Linked DNA regions of Oryctolagus cuniculus. The protein of the gene in region 1 purifies or fractionates together with the protein of each later gene. This does not show direct contact. Links are inferred from orthologs where the notes say so. Each region holds a gene or a part of one and is shown in the gene's direction. Other genes may lie near its edges.

Region 1 (2,497 bases):
AGTTGTAAAATTTAAGTAAAGCTATTTAAATGTAGAACAGTGCCTCACCTAAAGTAAGTGCTAAAAAAAAAAGGTGTCAGTCACAATTACAACTTCCAAAACAGGAAGGGGAAAACATGAATATATGGGGGGTTGGGAACTTAACTCCAAAAGAAATGTAAAAAGATTCCTAAAGTATGGATATAGGAGTCAAATAGCACAAAATAAGGAAATATGAATCAAATAGCAAAAATAAGGGGCCAAAACATCATGCACGCAGTTTTAAAGTTAAAAGACAAAGGTTGTCAGGAAAAAAAAAAAGCTACTGTGCTGTTTATGAAACATGAAAGAGATGGGTAAAAGTGCAGGGTCAATAGGCTAGTCGGGGTCAATGCTTTGGAATCTTCTAGAACCTTCCTTCCCCTATGCTGGTCTCCGTCTACCCCCATGTTCCCTTCAGCCTCTTGGAGGCTTCCTCCTCCACCATCCCCATCCGCGTACCCCTCCTCAGCCGTCTCTGCTCCTCAGAGGCAGGCGGTGACTGAGGCTCCATGGCCTCTCCCTTTGGCCTTGAGTTCACACCAGCGGCACCCATGGCAACCATCGCCCCGGGGAGGGCCTCACGCCCGCGCTCATTGGCTCTCAGGCGGCCCTGCCGCTGCGGTTGGTGAGGGCGCAGTGCCTACGCCGCGCCGGCTATTAAAGGAGCGCTTGTGACGCAATGGCGCCTTGGCGCGCGTATTGGCTCCCGCCAGGCTGTGCCCGAGCTGCTTGGCCACGGTGGAGCCTCGTGTCTCGCCGCTGCCGCCGCCCTGTGACGGCCACTCCCGCTCCTGGACTTGCCGCTGCCGCCGCGTGTGTCGCCGCCACGGGCCTGGCTGTATGAGTAGGCCACAATCTTTCATGAGTAAACATATTCCTTTCTGTGGGGTTTTTGGTCACGCATTTATGGAGTTTCTGAAGGGCCCTGGAGATTACTGCCAGGCACAGCACGGCCTTTATGAGGACAAGTGAACTTGAGAAAGTCACTCTACTCCAGCAGGACGTCCCCATCAGAGAGAATAACCTGGACACAGACGTGTTGAATTGAAAGCATTGGAACATTTTACAAGAGTTCTGACCCGAATGGGGTAAACCTCTGTGCACTTGCTTTCCACCGACTCGGCATTATTAGTGAGTCGAAGAACAGCTGCTGCTTCTCAGGAAATTCATCTCATTTTCTGTCACCTGCCTATCTGAAGTGCTGAGAATTTCAAGTGGAGTGTATTGAGGTGGACTTCAGTTTCTTGACATCATTTCTGTATTCAAAAGCTTTTAATTTTTTCGTGACCGTATTGAGTGGTTTTAAACGAAATTAACATGGCTCCGATGAACCGCCCGGCTCCTGTGGAAGTCACATACAGGAACATGAGATTCCTTATTACACACAACCCAACCACTGCAACCTTAAACAGGTTTATAGAGGAACTTAAGAAATACGGAGTTACCACAATAGTGAGAGTGTGTGAAGCAACTTACGACACCGCCCTCATGGAGAAAGAAGGTATCCAGGTTCTGGATTGGCCTTTTGATGATGGATCATCTCCTTCCAATCAGATTGTTGATGACTGGTTAAGTCTTGTAAACATTAAATTCCGTGAAGAACCTGGTTGTTGTATTGCTGTCCACTGTGTTGCGGGTCTTGGGAGAACCCCAGTGCTTGTTGCCTTAGCGTTAATTGAAAGTGGAATGAAAAATGAAGATGCAGTGCAGTTTATTAGACAAAAGCGGCGTGGAGCTTTTAACAGCAAACAACTTTTGTATTTGGAGAAATACCGTTCTAAAATGCGGCTGCGCTTCAAAGACTCCAGTGGTCACAGAAACAACTGTTGCATTCAATAAAACTTAGCTGCCTGATGCTATTGCCTTGGAAGTGGAACTTGAGACTGGATCTAATTTTTCAGATCTATTAGCCAACATCTTAGTGAATAAGTCTAATGAAGCTCCCATAGGAATGTTGAAAAGCCACAAGCTTGACAGAATTGCCACTTCTGTTTTGCTTACTATTTATTATCCTATGCCAAAAAACAATATATAAAAAGTATAGTGAGATTAGATGCCAAGATACCCAGTACAATATGTGTTTATTTTTAGTATCATACAGAATTAAAATCCCAGGAACTTTGAACAGTACTCTAGACCTTACATCATTTATTCTTTAAGTCCTTTGAAACATTATAATAGGGCTTGTATGGTTATTTGTCTGTTCCTTTATGTTCACTACCCACAAGTGTACTGGTTTGTGCAACAAGTGATTTTGTTGGATTCTTATCAAGTCTTATGGTGATTATTTAGTCTTTCTATAAGTTCCTGTTAGGAAAAACTTTATTTTGAGAAATTAACCTCTGGTTTAAAGTTCATGCAAAATTCTCGTTGTGCAAGAAACACATGTGTTTAATGTCATCAGACAAAAAAGTCTTACCTTTGGGGTACAACTTAAGAGGGGAGGCAGAATGGGAGGAAGCTATGAAATATTTAG
Region 2 (3,500 bases), on another chromosome or scaffold:
TGTCAAAAAAAAAAAAAAAAAAAAAAAAAAAAAAAAAAAAAAAGAGAGAGAGGGGCTGGTGTTGTGATGCAGTGTGTTAAGTTCCTGCCTGCAATACTGGCATCCCATGTGAGTGTCAGAGTCCCGGCTGCTTCACTTCCCATCCAGCTCCCTGCTGATGCACCTGGGAAAGCAATGGAGGATGGCCCAAGTGCTTGGCCCCCTGCCAGCCATGTGGGAGACCTGGGTGGAGTTCCCAGCCCTGGCCATGGTAGCAATTTGGGGAGTGAACCCGAAGATGGAAGACTTCTTTCTCTTTGTAACTGCTTTTCAAGTAAATAAATAAATCTTAAAATTAAAAAAACGAAACTAAAAAAAGCAAAGAGAGACAGCGGCAAAGAGAGAGACAGAGACCTTCCAACCACTGGTTCTTTAACTGCAAGGGCTGGACCAGGCTGAAGTGAGGAGCCCAGAACTCCATCTGGGTATCTGACACGGATGGTAGGCACCCAGGTACTTGCAGGGTGTGTATTAGGAGGAGGCTGGACTCGAACCAGGCACTCCAGTATGGGATGTGGGTGTCCCAAGCTGGGACTTAACTGCTGTGCCAAACGCCTACCCCCAGAGTTACTTTTTCTTTTTTTTTAAAGATTTATTTTTCTTATTTGAAAGTCAGAGTTACACAGAGAAAGAGAGAGAGAGAGAGAGAGAGAGAGTGAGGTCTTCCATCCGCTGGTTCACTCCCCGATTGGCTGCAACGGCCAGAGCTGTGCCGATCCGAAGCCAGGAGCCAGGAGCTTCCTCCAGGTCTCCCATGTGGGTGCAGGGGCCAAGCACTTGGGCTATATTGTACTGCTTTCCCAGGCCATAGCAGAGAGCTGGATCAGAAGAGGAGCAGCCGGGACTCAAACCAGCGCCCATATGGGATGCCGACACTTCAGGCCAGGGCATTAACGCACTGCACCACAGTGCGCGCATCCCCCCCCACCCCCCCCACCCCCCACCCCAGAGTTACTTTTGCAATAAGCCTGAAGTCCTTGAGAGGGCACCTCGGAGATCAGTAAGGAGAAGGGGGCCCTCCACTTGCTGGAACTCGCCCCTTGCCTGCCCATGCGCCCGAAGAGCCTGTGCTCCACCCTGGTCTCAGTCTCCTGCCTGCCCCCTGCCTGTGTGTGCTGGGCCCTGCAGGAACTGACCTCGAGACCAGTGACATTTCTGTTTTCTCACCCCTGGTTCAGTCGCCAGGACCTAGGTGACAGATTGGAGAAATACCAGCCTCCTCCATCCCTTCTGCACAACCCACCCTCCTTCCCAGCCCTCAGTTGGTAGCAGTGTGATCATTCTTTTTCCTTTATGTTTGCTACTACAATATTAATGTTGATAACAATAGTAAATTTTTTTAAATATTACTGTTTTTCCTTTTTAATTTATTTATTTGAGAGGCAGAGTTACAGAGAGAGAGGCAGAGACAGAGACAGAGAGAAAGGTCTTCTATCTGCTGGTTCACTCCCCAAAATGGCTGCAATGGCTGGAACTTGGCCAATCTGAAGCCAGGAGCCAGGAGCTTCTTACAGGTCTCCCACTTGGGTGCAGGGGCCTAAGCATTTGGGCCGTCTTCCTCTGCTTTCCCAGGCCATAGCAGAGAGCTGCATCGGAAGAGGAGCAGCCAAGACAGGGGCCAGTGCCCATATGGGATGCCGGCACTGCAGGCAGAGGCTTAGCCTACTATGCCACAGTGCCACTCTACCCACCTCCCACCCCCCCCTTTTTTTTTTTTACTCAAAACGCAGAGTGACAGAGAAAGATCTTTCATCTGCTGGTTCACTTCCCAGATGGCTTCAATGGCTAGGGCTGGTCCAAGCTGAAACCAGGAGCCTGAAACTCCATCTGAGTCTCCCACATGAGTGGTAGGGACCAAGCACTTGGGCCGTTTATTAAGCAAGGAGCTGGATCAGAAACGGAGCAGCCAGCACTCTAAACCTGCACTCTGATATGGGATGCCAGCATTCCCGGCAGCTTCTTAGCCCTCTGTACCGAGTGCCTGTCCCCATAGTGATGATCCTGGTAATTCTAGGGACACTGATTAAGCACTTCCCACGTGCCAGGAGTGTGTCTAAGTGCTTTATTTGTGTTATCCCATTTGACCTCGCAAACCACCCAATGAGGTTTTATCCCCAGTTGATGTATGTGGAAACTGAGGCACAGGTTAGATAGTTAGCCCAAGGTCATGTGCTGTTGGGACCAGGGCCACCATCCCGGCCAGCGCCGGCAGACGGAAGACTTGGGTCTAAGCAGTCAGCAGCCAGGAGCAGAAGTGAGGGAGTGCCTGAGCCAGTGGGCACCAGCTCAGCTCAGGGCTGCCGCTGCAGTGACCGAGCCCCCGGGCTGCTGGCCTGGCCCCGCGTGAATCCCCCCTCTCTCCTCCTCCAGAGGTCCCCCAGTTCAGCCCCTCTCTCATATCGGAGAAGATCCTGCTGCGGCTGCTCAAGTACCCAGACGTCATACAGGAGCTCAAGTTCGATGAGCACAACAAGTACTACGTCCGCCACTACCTGTACACCCGAAATAAGCCCGCCGACTACTTCATCCTCATCCTGCAGGTGCGCGCCTCCTCCTCGGGCCACTCCCCACCCCAGCTTCTGCTGCCCCGCAGCCTCTGCTCGCCCCACAGTGCTCGTCCTCTCCCCCGGGGCCGCCTTGCACCTGCAGGGCAGAGCCCTGAGCACGCCAGGACTCTGGGCCACCCCTGCCTCCTGCGGCTGGCTGCGCCACTCCCGCGCCTCACTGCCACACCTGTCTCCGCCTTGTTTTTCTTCCCTGTAACCCTGACCTTGTGTTCTTCCAGGGGAAGGTGGAGGTGGAGGCAGGGAAGGAGAACATGAAGTTTGAGACGGGTGCCTTCTCCTACTATGGGACCATGGCCTTGACCTCGGTCCCCCCTGGTGAGTTATAGGGCTGGGCCTGCACCTTTCTCCTGCATCCCAGAACTGAGGTGGTTTAAGGTGTGGGAGTGAGGGTGGAGAGGCGGTGGTGTGTGTATTGGTGAGGGCCAGGCTGCCAGGGCCTAGAGGAGGTGGCCTGGAAGAGCAGGGTGACTTGCCCCTTTCAACGGGGTCCAGAGGCCCAAGTCACAGAGACGAGAAGGGAATTCTTAGCGAAGGCCTGGGCAACCAAGGCGGGTATCCTGAGAGGGTGAGGAGACCCGCCGTGGAGGGCAGGGGGGTGGACTATGGGTAGGAAAGGACACATCAGGGAGCCTCAGAAAGTCACAGGCCTTTAGGTAGCTATTACATGAAGTCAGAAGCGCTCGTGGCCCGCTGTGAGAGAAGTGTAAGGAGACCAGGATGGACTGGCAGGGCCAGGCGGCCTCAGTGCCCCTGCTGCCCGTGACAGCAGGCGGAGGTGAGGACTGGGGCACCCAGAGCGCCCATAGTTGGGAGCCAGGCCAGGGCCTGTTTAGCAGGGTGGGTTACAGATGGTCTTAGCTTTTCCAGGGGCTTAGCCACTGCCTTTGGTTAAGG
Region 3 (3,465 bases), on another chromosome or scaffold:
CTGCTAACGGAAGAGGCCCTCTAGCTTCTCCAGGGTTTCAAGGGAAGAAAGCTTGATTGCAGTGTGGTTGGGTTCGGGGGTAGGCTTTGGATGTGTTCCCTAAAGGTTCGTGTGGTGGAAGCCTGGTCCCCAGCGTAAGAGGTGGCAGATCTCTAAGATCTGGGGTGTCAGGGGAAGGTGGGTCAAGGGGCACCACCCTCAAAAGGGATCAATGTGGCTCTCACAGGGCTGGGCTCCTTCTCGTGAGAGCAGGTGGTAGTGAAGTGAGGTCACCCCACGTGCTTGGCCCCTCTGCACTTGGCCATTTCCATTCCCGCATCTCTGCCGTGTTGTGTCACAGCCAGTTGCCAGTGCCACACTGTTTGGACCCTCCAGCCAAATAAACCCCTGCTCTTTGTAGAGTACCCAGCCCCAGGTATTTTGTTGTAGCAACACAGAACAGACTAAGACAAGCTCCACTGAGTACACCCTAAGGGCCTGCAGCCAATAACAATGAGCCGTAGGAACCGGTGGCGGCCCCTCATCGTCCCTCATCTGCCGAGCTGGGTCTCAAGCCTCAAAGGTCAAGGGTTCCGAGGCACCTGAGCAGGGCTGCCTCTGAGCTGGGCTGCCTCTGAGCTGGGCGGTCCAGGGAGGGCCCTGCCCTGCTCCTGAGCTTCTGCCTGCTTCTCCCCAGATCACACGGCAGCAGTACCAGAATGCACTCACCGCCTGCCACCTGGACAGCTCACCCCAGTCCCCCGACATGGGCGCCTTCACTGACGGGGACTCCAGCAAGGCCCCCACGACCCGGGGCACGCCTCAGACCCCCAAGGATGACCCTGCTGCCGTCTCACTCCTCAACCACAGGAGCAGCCTCCCGTGTAAGTCAGTGGGCGGATGGCCGAGCCTCCTTCCCATCTCGTGCCTCACAGAGCCCCAGGCCCCCTTCCGAGCGGAGCCTGAGGCGTCCACTGTCCTCCACAGGCAGCCGCTCGGACGGGCTGAGAAGCCCCGGCGAGGTGGTGTACCTGAGGATGGAGGAGCTGGCTCTCACCCAGGAGGAGACAACCGACTTGGAGGAGCAGAGCACACAGCAGCTCTCGCTGTCTCCCGCAGCAGGTCCCACAGGAGCAGGTCAGGACGGAGTCTGGGCTCAGACGAGTATCATCTTGGGCAAGGAGATGGCACACGGCAAGCTGGGTGAGAGGAGCCCTGGGACCCCAGCCCTGGAGTACACCCTCCCACCTCCTTACATAGCCACGGGAGAGACACGCCCACCAAGCACCTGCTATGGATTGGGCCCTGTCTCGTTCATTCTCCCAGGACAGCTGTGGTAGGCAGTGTTAGGAGCTTGGACTCTGCCTGGATCCAGCCCCCAACTCCTTCATGTAGGAGCTGTGCGATTTTAGACAAGTTACTTAAGACAAGTTGCTTATCTTCATTGATGATCCTCCTACATGAATAGCTATAAATGATGGTAGCTCTCTTGGGAAGTGGTGTTGAGTATAAACGGGACAGTATACTTTAAGGGCACACATATCACCATGTGTGGAGCATCTACAGTAGGTAGTTATTATTCGACTCGCCTTACAGACTAGGAAACTGGAGTCAGCCATCACTCTTTTTTTTTTTTTCTTAGAAAAAGAGAGGCAGAAACAGAGATCTTCCATCTGCTGGTTTTCTCCCCAGATAGCCACAATGGCTGGAGTTGGTCGATCCAAAGCCAAGAGCTTCTTCTGGGTCTCCCATGTGGGTTCAGAGGCCCAAGCACTTGGCCATCTTCCACTGCTTTTCCAGGCACATTAGCAAGGAGCTGAATCAGATGTGGAGCAGCCGGGTCTCAAGCTGGTGCAGACGGTAGTTTAACCCCTTATGCCAGAGTGCCGGCTCAGTCATCACTCTAACCAGCAGCACCCCTTCCTTTGGGCCCAGAGACCCAAGGTTGTCTGGGAGTTTTTCCTGAGGTCCTAGATTGCATTGCCTCCGAGACATTGAACGCTTTTGCCCTGATGGTGCGGTTGCTCCAGCAATCCCGACATCTTTCTGTGCTCACTAAGTACACACCCCAAACTCTCAGGAGGCCCCTACACCCACCTTCAGGCCACCTGTTCCCCTACCGGACCTCTCAGACCTACCCTAATCCAGAGTGTAAGAGCCCTCAGACCCAGAGAAATGCCTTGAAGAGAACTTACGAGGCCAGCAGACGACACTCTTGGACTCCTGGCTAACCCAGAAAATCCTGGAGGGTCACCGTTCCAGGATACAAGTTTAAAACCAGTGACCCTTCTCTCCCACACACACCGAATCCATCGCCAAAGCACAAGGGAAGAAAATGTGGCAAAGGCGTCAGAATGGAGGCGTGGGGTGGGGTAGTCTTTGAAATCACCCAGTCCTCCCTCCGCATGGGACACCTGAGGACCCTGGAGGCCTAGACAAGGGAAACGTTTGCTCAAGTCCAAACCTGTGCTTGAAGCAGCCTCAGTCTCTGGGTTTCGGTGCAGTGCCGTCTCCGGCTCGTCACCTGCCTGCCTGGTTGGCCCTAAGCCATGACCTCCTCCTGGTTCTCTTGGAATCCCCTTCTGAGGGTGCTTGAAGGTTGTTGAGCCTACAGTTTGCCAGGGCTGTGTGAGCAGAGGAGGGAGACAGCCCTACCTTTCCCCAGATGCCCTTTGGGTGGAGAATATACCGTGCCCTTCCTCCTTTGCCAAATGGTGCTTGGGGGTGAGGGCATTATCCCTCCCTTTGCATGGACTTCTGCCTTCCCTTCCTTTTATGGCACCAAAATGCCTGTTGCCAGCACCCTCTGGGCCTTCCCTCCATTGCCACGCCACCCTGCGCAGGCTCCTGTACAGGATGTCACGCAGAATCACCTTGCCTTGATCCCTGGGCATGGAGGTCGAAAAAACTTGAGTTCTCTCTTCCTTCCTCTCTCAGCGTCAGACAATGAATGTTGTAACATCCACCTGGACACGGAGACCAGCCCTTGCAGTAGCGACTTCGAAGAAACCATGGGCAAGAAGCTGCTGCGAACCTTGAGTGAGTAACGCTTCCCCCAGCCTCGGGCCACCCCCAGCCCCACCCGCGCGTTAGCAAGAAAAGCACATTAGGCTCTTGCTCCTGGAGGAGGCAACTTTGGCTTCTTTTGGGAGCTTTGTTGAGGCACAGTGCGCCCGGGCTTGGGCTGAGACCGCACCCTTGATAGTGGATCTGCCATACCTGCTGTGGTCTCTGGGCTAGGAGCTCATGGCCTGTGCCTGTAGGTCAAACCCCAACATCTCTCCTCCACTTGTTTTCGCCAGTAAACACTCACTAGACCATAGAGACCAGTTTGTTTTCCGCAGCCACAATGGCAGAGTCGAGTACTTGTGAGACCGTTTGGCCCACAGAACCTGTAACATTTACTATCCAGTCCTTTAAAGAAGGGCTTTGTGGCCAGGAGACTCACCGCACAGGAAAGCAGTCCCCTCGGCAGGTGACGGCCAA
Region 4 (2,767 bases), on another chromosome or scaffold:
CCTGTCTGACCTGCAGCTCATTAAGGTGACCGCCCGGGCTGCTCGTTGGTGCTGGTTTTATTTCTTTACTTGAGAGACACAGAGTTCTCAGTCCACTGGTTTGCTCCCCAAATGCCTGCAGCAGCCAGGTGGAAGCCAAGAGCTGGGAACTCAGTCCTGGTCTCTGGTATGACGGGCAGGGACTCAGTTACTTGAGCCGTGTCCTGTTGCCTCCCAAGGTGCACATTCGTAGGAAGTGGGAATTGGGAGCGAAGTTAGAATTTGAATCCAGGCAGTCTCAGTAACCACTAGGCCAAATGCCCACCCCAGCTCTGTTGTCTCTGTGAGGCTAGACCGACTGGTGACAAGTTTGTATGGGTTGAAAGCAAACCGATTCTGTCCCAGACTGCCCAAGGCCCTGTGCTCGGCCTGCAGGAGACCCCTAGACTGCTGTGGTCCAGGCCTCGGCCCCTGCCTCCCTCTGAGGCCTGACACGTTCTGCCTGACCGCCCTTCTCTGCTGTTCTCAGCTCGTATCCTTTCCCTCCCGGTGTGATTCTCCCCTCTAGGTCAGGTGCTTTGTGTGCGACCCCTTGTACCTCCTCATCTTGATTTACAAATTGCATCAGCTGGGTGATGTGTTCTGTGCTCCAGGTTACACGGCTACAGTACCTCAATGCACTCCTGGCTACCCGAGCCCAGAGCCTGCCACCGTCCCCTGAGAGTGCCAACCTCCAGGTCGTGCCAGGCAGCCAGACCAGGCTCCTCGTTGAGAAGACTGCTGCAGCCGGTAAGCCTCGGGGGCACGTCCTGTGGTCTGAGTACCCAGGGGGCTGTGCGCCGGCAGTCCTGGCAGCTGACACACACACACACACACACACACACGTGCGCGCTCTCTGCCCTGCTTTTTCTGTTTTTCTCCCCAGCCCTGTCCCTTGTGTTGGACGACACTGAGCAGTAGACCAGTTGGCATTTGAAGTAAAACATGAAGTCCCCGTGTTCCCTTGAAGGCCTTTCAGGATGGGTTCTCCTAACTGGGGAACAGTTGGTGAATGGGAATAAGATCACATGCAGGCTGTTCTGGCCGTTCAGGGTTAGGGTTAGGTCACTTGGGCGAGGAGAATCTGGTCACCAAGGGCCCGGCTCAAAGGTGGAGGGCTGCGGGCACATCAGAAACGAGAAGGGCCCCTGCTGAGGAGGGGGCAGGACAGGCGCTGTCCTGCCGGGGGCTCCGTGGTGGGCAGGAAGACCCGGCCCACACTGTGAGAGGGCATGGGATAGCCAGCCCCACAGTGGAAGGAGGGCTCTGTCATGTGGGCTGTGGGTTGGAGGAGTAAAAGGGGAGCCTTCCGGTTCTTATCCTGTAAGACAGTTGTGTCAGGATGCGCCGGGCCGGGTACCCTACTTCCTCCCCCGACCCCGCAGCCAGTGAGGAAGACGAGCCCTGTGGGGTGCGTGCCTCGCTGGTCTTACGTCCCCGGTCTCAGGTGGTGGTGGGCACGTCCATTCTACAGGTGAGGAGCACGAGTCAGGGTGCAGGTGCCTGGAGAGCCCCTCAGAGAGCAGACCTGCTCACCTGGGCCTGCGCCTGAGAATCCGACCACACGCTTCTACCAGAAGGGTCCTTTCTGAGTTGGGAGGTGGCGTGCAGGAGTGATGGGCAGGAGGCCTTCCCCGTGCCGGGGTGATGGCTCAGCCCCGGGGCTGCAGCTCTGACTGCACGTGAGGCCTTGTTCCTCAGGGCCTCTGGAGGAAGGCAGCCTTTCTGGGGCGCTGCGCCTTCCCGGGCTGACGGGGTCCTGCCTTTACTCCCTGTGATGGGGTGTCCCCCGTGTGGAAGCTCACGCCGTCGTGTTAGCCTTAGATCCCAAAAGCCGAGAGGTTTTGCCTTGCTAAATGTGAGCCTTTGGTTCTGGTTTTCCCCACGCTGAGTCCCTCTGCCCAAGGTGCACACCTGGTCCAGGAGTGGCCGCGCGCCCTCTCTGCCTCCTTGATCAAACATCTCAGAACCTCCAAACCCTCTGTGCCCCAGCTGCTCGTCGGGCAGTCCTGTGAGTCACTTAGAGCAGCTCTGTGGGGCGTCTGCTCTCTAACAGATCCTCCGCTGTTTTGTAGACTTTATGTTGGTGACTGTCACCTACGTGCAGTCTGACATTTGCCCCCAGTGAGGCCTGCCTGTCTTTCTGCTCTCTTCTTCCTGGGGTTGTCCCTGAGCACTGGGCACCTCCCTCCCCAGAAGAGCCTAGTGTCGCTGCGCAGGTGGCGACTTCCCTGGGGCCCCACTCAGGGCAGGTGAGAACCAGTCTTTGGAGACTTGGGCTCTCGAACTTTAAATTGTCTGCAGCAGGGGCGGCAGACTGGTGCGGAGTTGTAACAGACCTGCAGCATCTAGAAATGCAGTGCTTTACCGAAGACGTTTCCTGGGCCCCCCATTTCAGGTTCTGAGTAAATCCTCCCTGTCAGCCACCTCAGGCACCTGGCTTCCCTGCGGTCCTGCACGCCAGCACCTGGCGGCCCGTGGCGCTGCCCTGGGCGAGAGGCTTCACTGTTGGGGCTCAACTGCTGTCTCCTCTTTCTTCCCCTCTGCTCTCTTCAGCCTTCCCAGTAGACATTTCCCTCTTTGGCACATTTGGAAACTGCAGTTGATAAATGACTGTGGACTAGTGAGCATTTTTTTGTTTTAAGAAAACACCCAAGGTAAATATCTTTTCTTTCCTTTTTCCTTTTGCTTTCCTTTCCCGGCCTGTTAGCTGCCGGCGGGGTCCCCAGGCAGCTCTGTGCAGACTAGG

The links. Proteins that work in one complex are often made in the same cells at the same time.
Region 2: the proteins of protein tyrosine phosphatase type IVA 1 (region 1) and CNNM4 purify together in Homo sapiens (affinity purification with mass spectrometry; 6 studies listed by BioGRID and IntAct, with this or other methods). This does not show direct contact. The link is inferred for Oryctolagus cuniculus from reciprocal best matches to the Homo sapiens genes PTP4A1 and CNNM4.
Region 3: the proteins of protein tyrosine phosphatase type IVA 1 (region 1) and CNNM1 purify together in Homo sapiens (affinity purification with mass spectrometry; 4 studies listed by BioGRID and IntAct, with this or other methods). This does not show direct contact. The link is inferred for Oryctolagus cuniculus from reciprocal best matches to the Homo sapiens genes PTP4A1 and CNNM1.
Region 4: the proteins of protein tyrosine phosphatase type IVA 1 (region 1) and CNNM3 purify together in Homo sapiens (affinity purification with mass spectrometry; 6 studies listed by BioGRID and IntAct, with this or other methods). This does not show direct contact. The link is inferred for Oryctolagus cuniculus from reciprocal best matches to the Homo sapiens genes PTP4A1 and CNNM3.

The regions. Positions count from the first base shown.
Region 1 is NC_091432.1:77,597,695-77,600,191, forward strand, and holds protein tyrosine phosphatase type IVA 1, read left to right. Parts: upstream 1-1,194; 5' UTR 1,195-1,338; coding exon 1,339-1,860; 3' UTR 1,861-1,997; downstream 1,998-2,497. UniProt on the Homo sapiens protein: Protein tyrosine phosphatase which stimulates progression from G1 into S phase during mitosis. May play a role in the development and maintenance of differentiating epithelial tissues.
Region 2 is NC_091433.1:110,921,697-110,925,196, reverse strand, and holds part of CNNM4 (metal transporter CNNM4), read left to right. Parts: intron 1-2,409; coding exon 2,410-2,579; intron 2,580-2,824; coding exon 2,825-2,921; intron 2,922-3,500. UniProt on the Homo sapiens protein: Probable metal transporter. The interaction with the metal ion chaperone COX11 suggests that it may play a role in sensory neuron functions. May play a role in biomineralization and retinal function.
Region 3 is NC_091446.1:30,666,973-30,670,437, reverse strand, and holds part of CNNM1 (metal transporter CNNM1), read left to right. Parts: intron 1-676; coding exon 677-863; intron 864-966; coding exon 967-1,182; intron 1,183-2,916; coding exon 2,917-3,018; intron 3,019-3,465. UniProt on the Homo sapiens protein: Probable metal transporter.
Region 4 is NC_091433.1:110,896,345-110,899,111, reverse strand, and holds part of CNNM3 (metal transporter CNNM3), read left to right. Parts: coding exon 1-25; intron 26-632; coding exon 633-768; intron 769-904; coding exon of another isoform or gene 905-939; exon of another isoform or gene 940-1,071; intron 1,072-2,574; exon of another isoform or gene 2,575-2,675; intron 2,676-2,767. UniProt on the Homo sapiens protein: Probable metal transporter.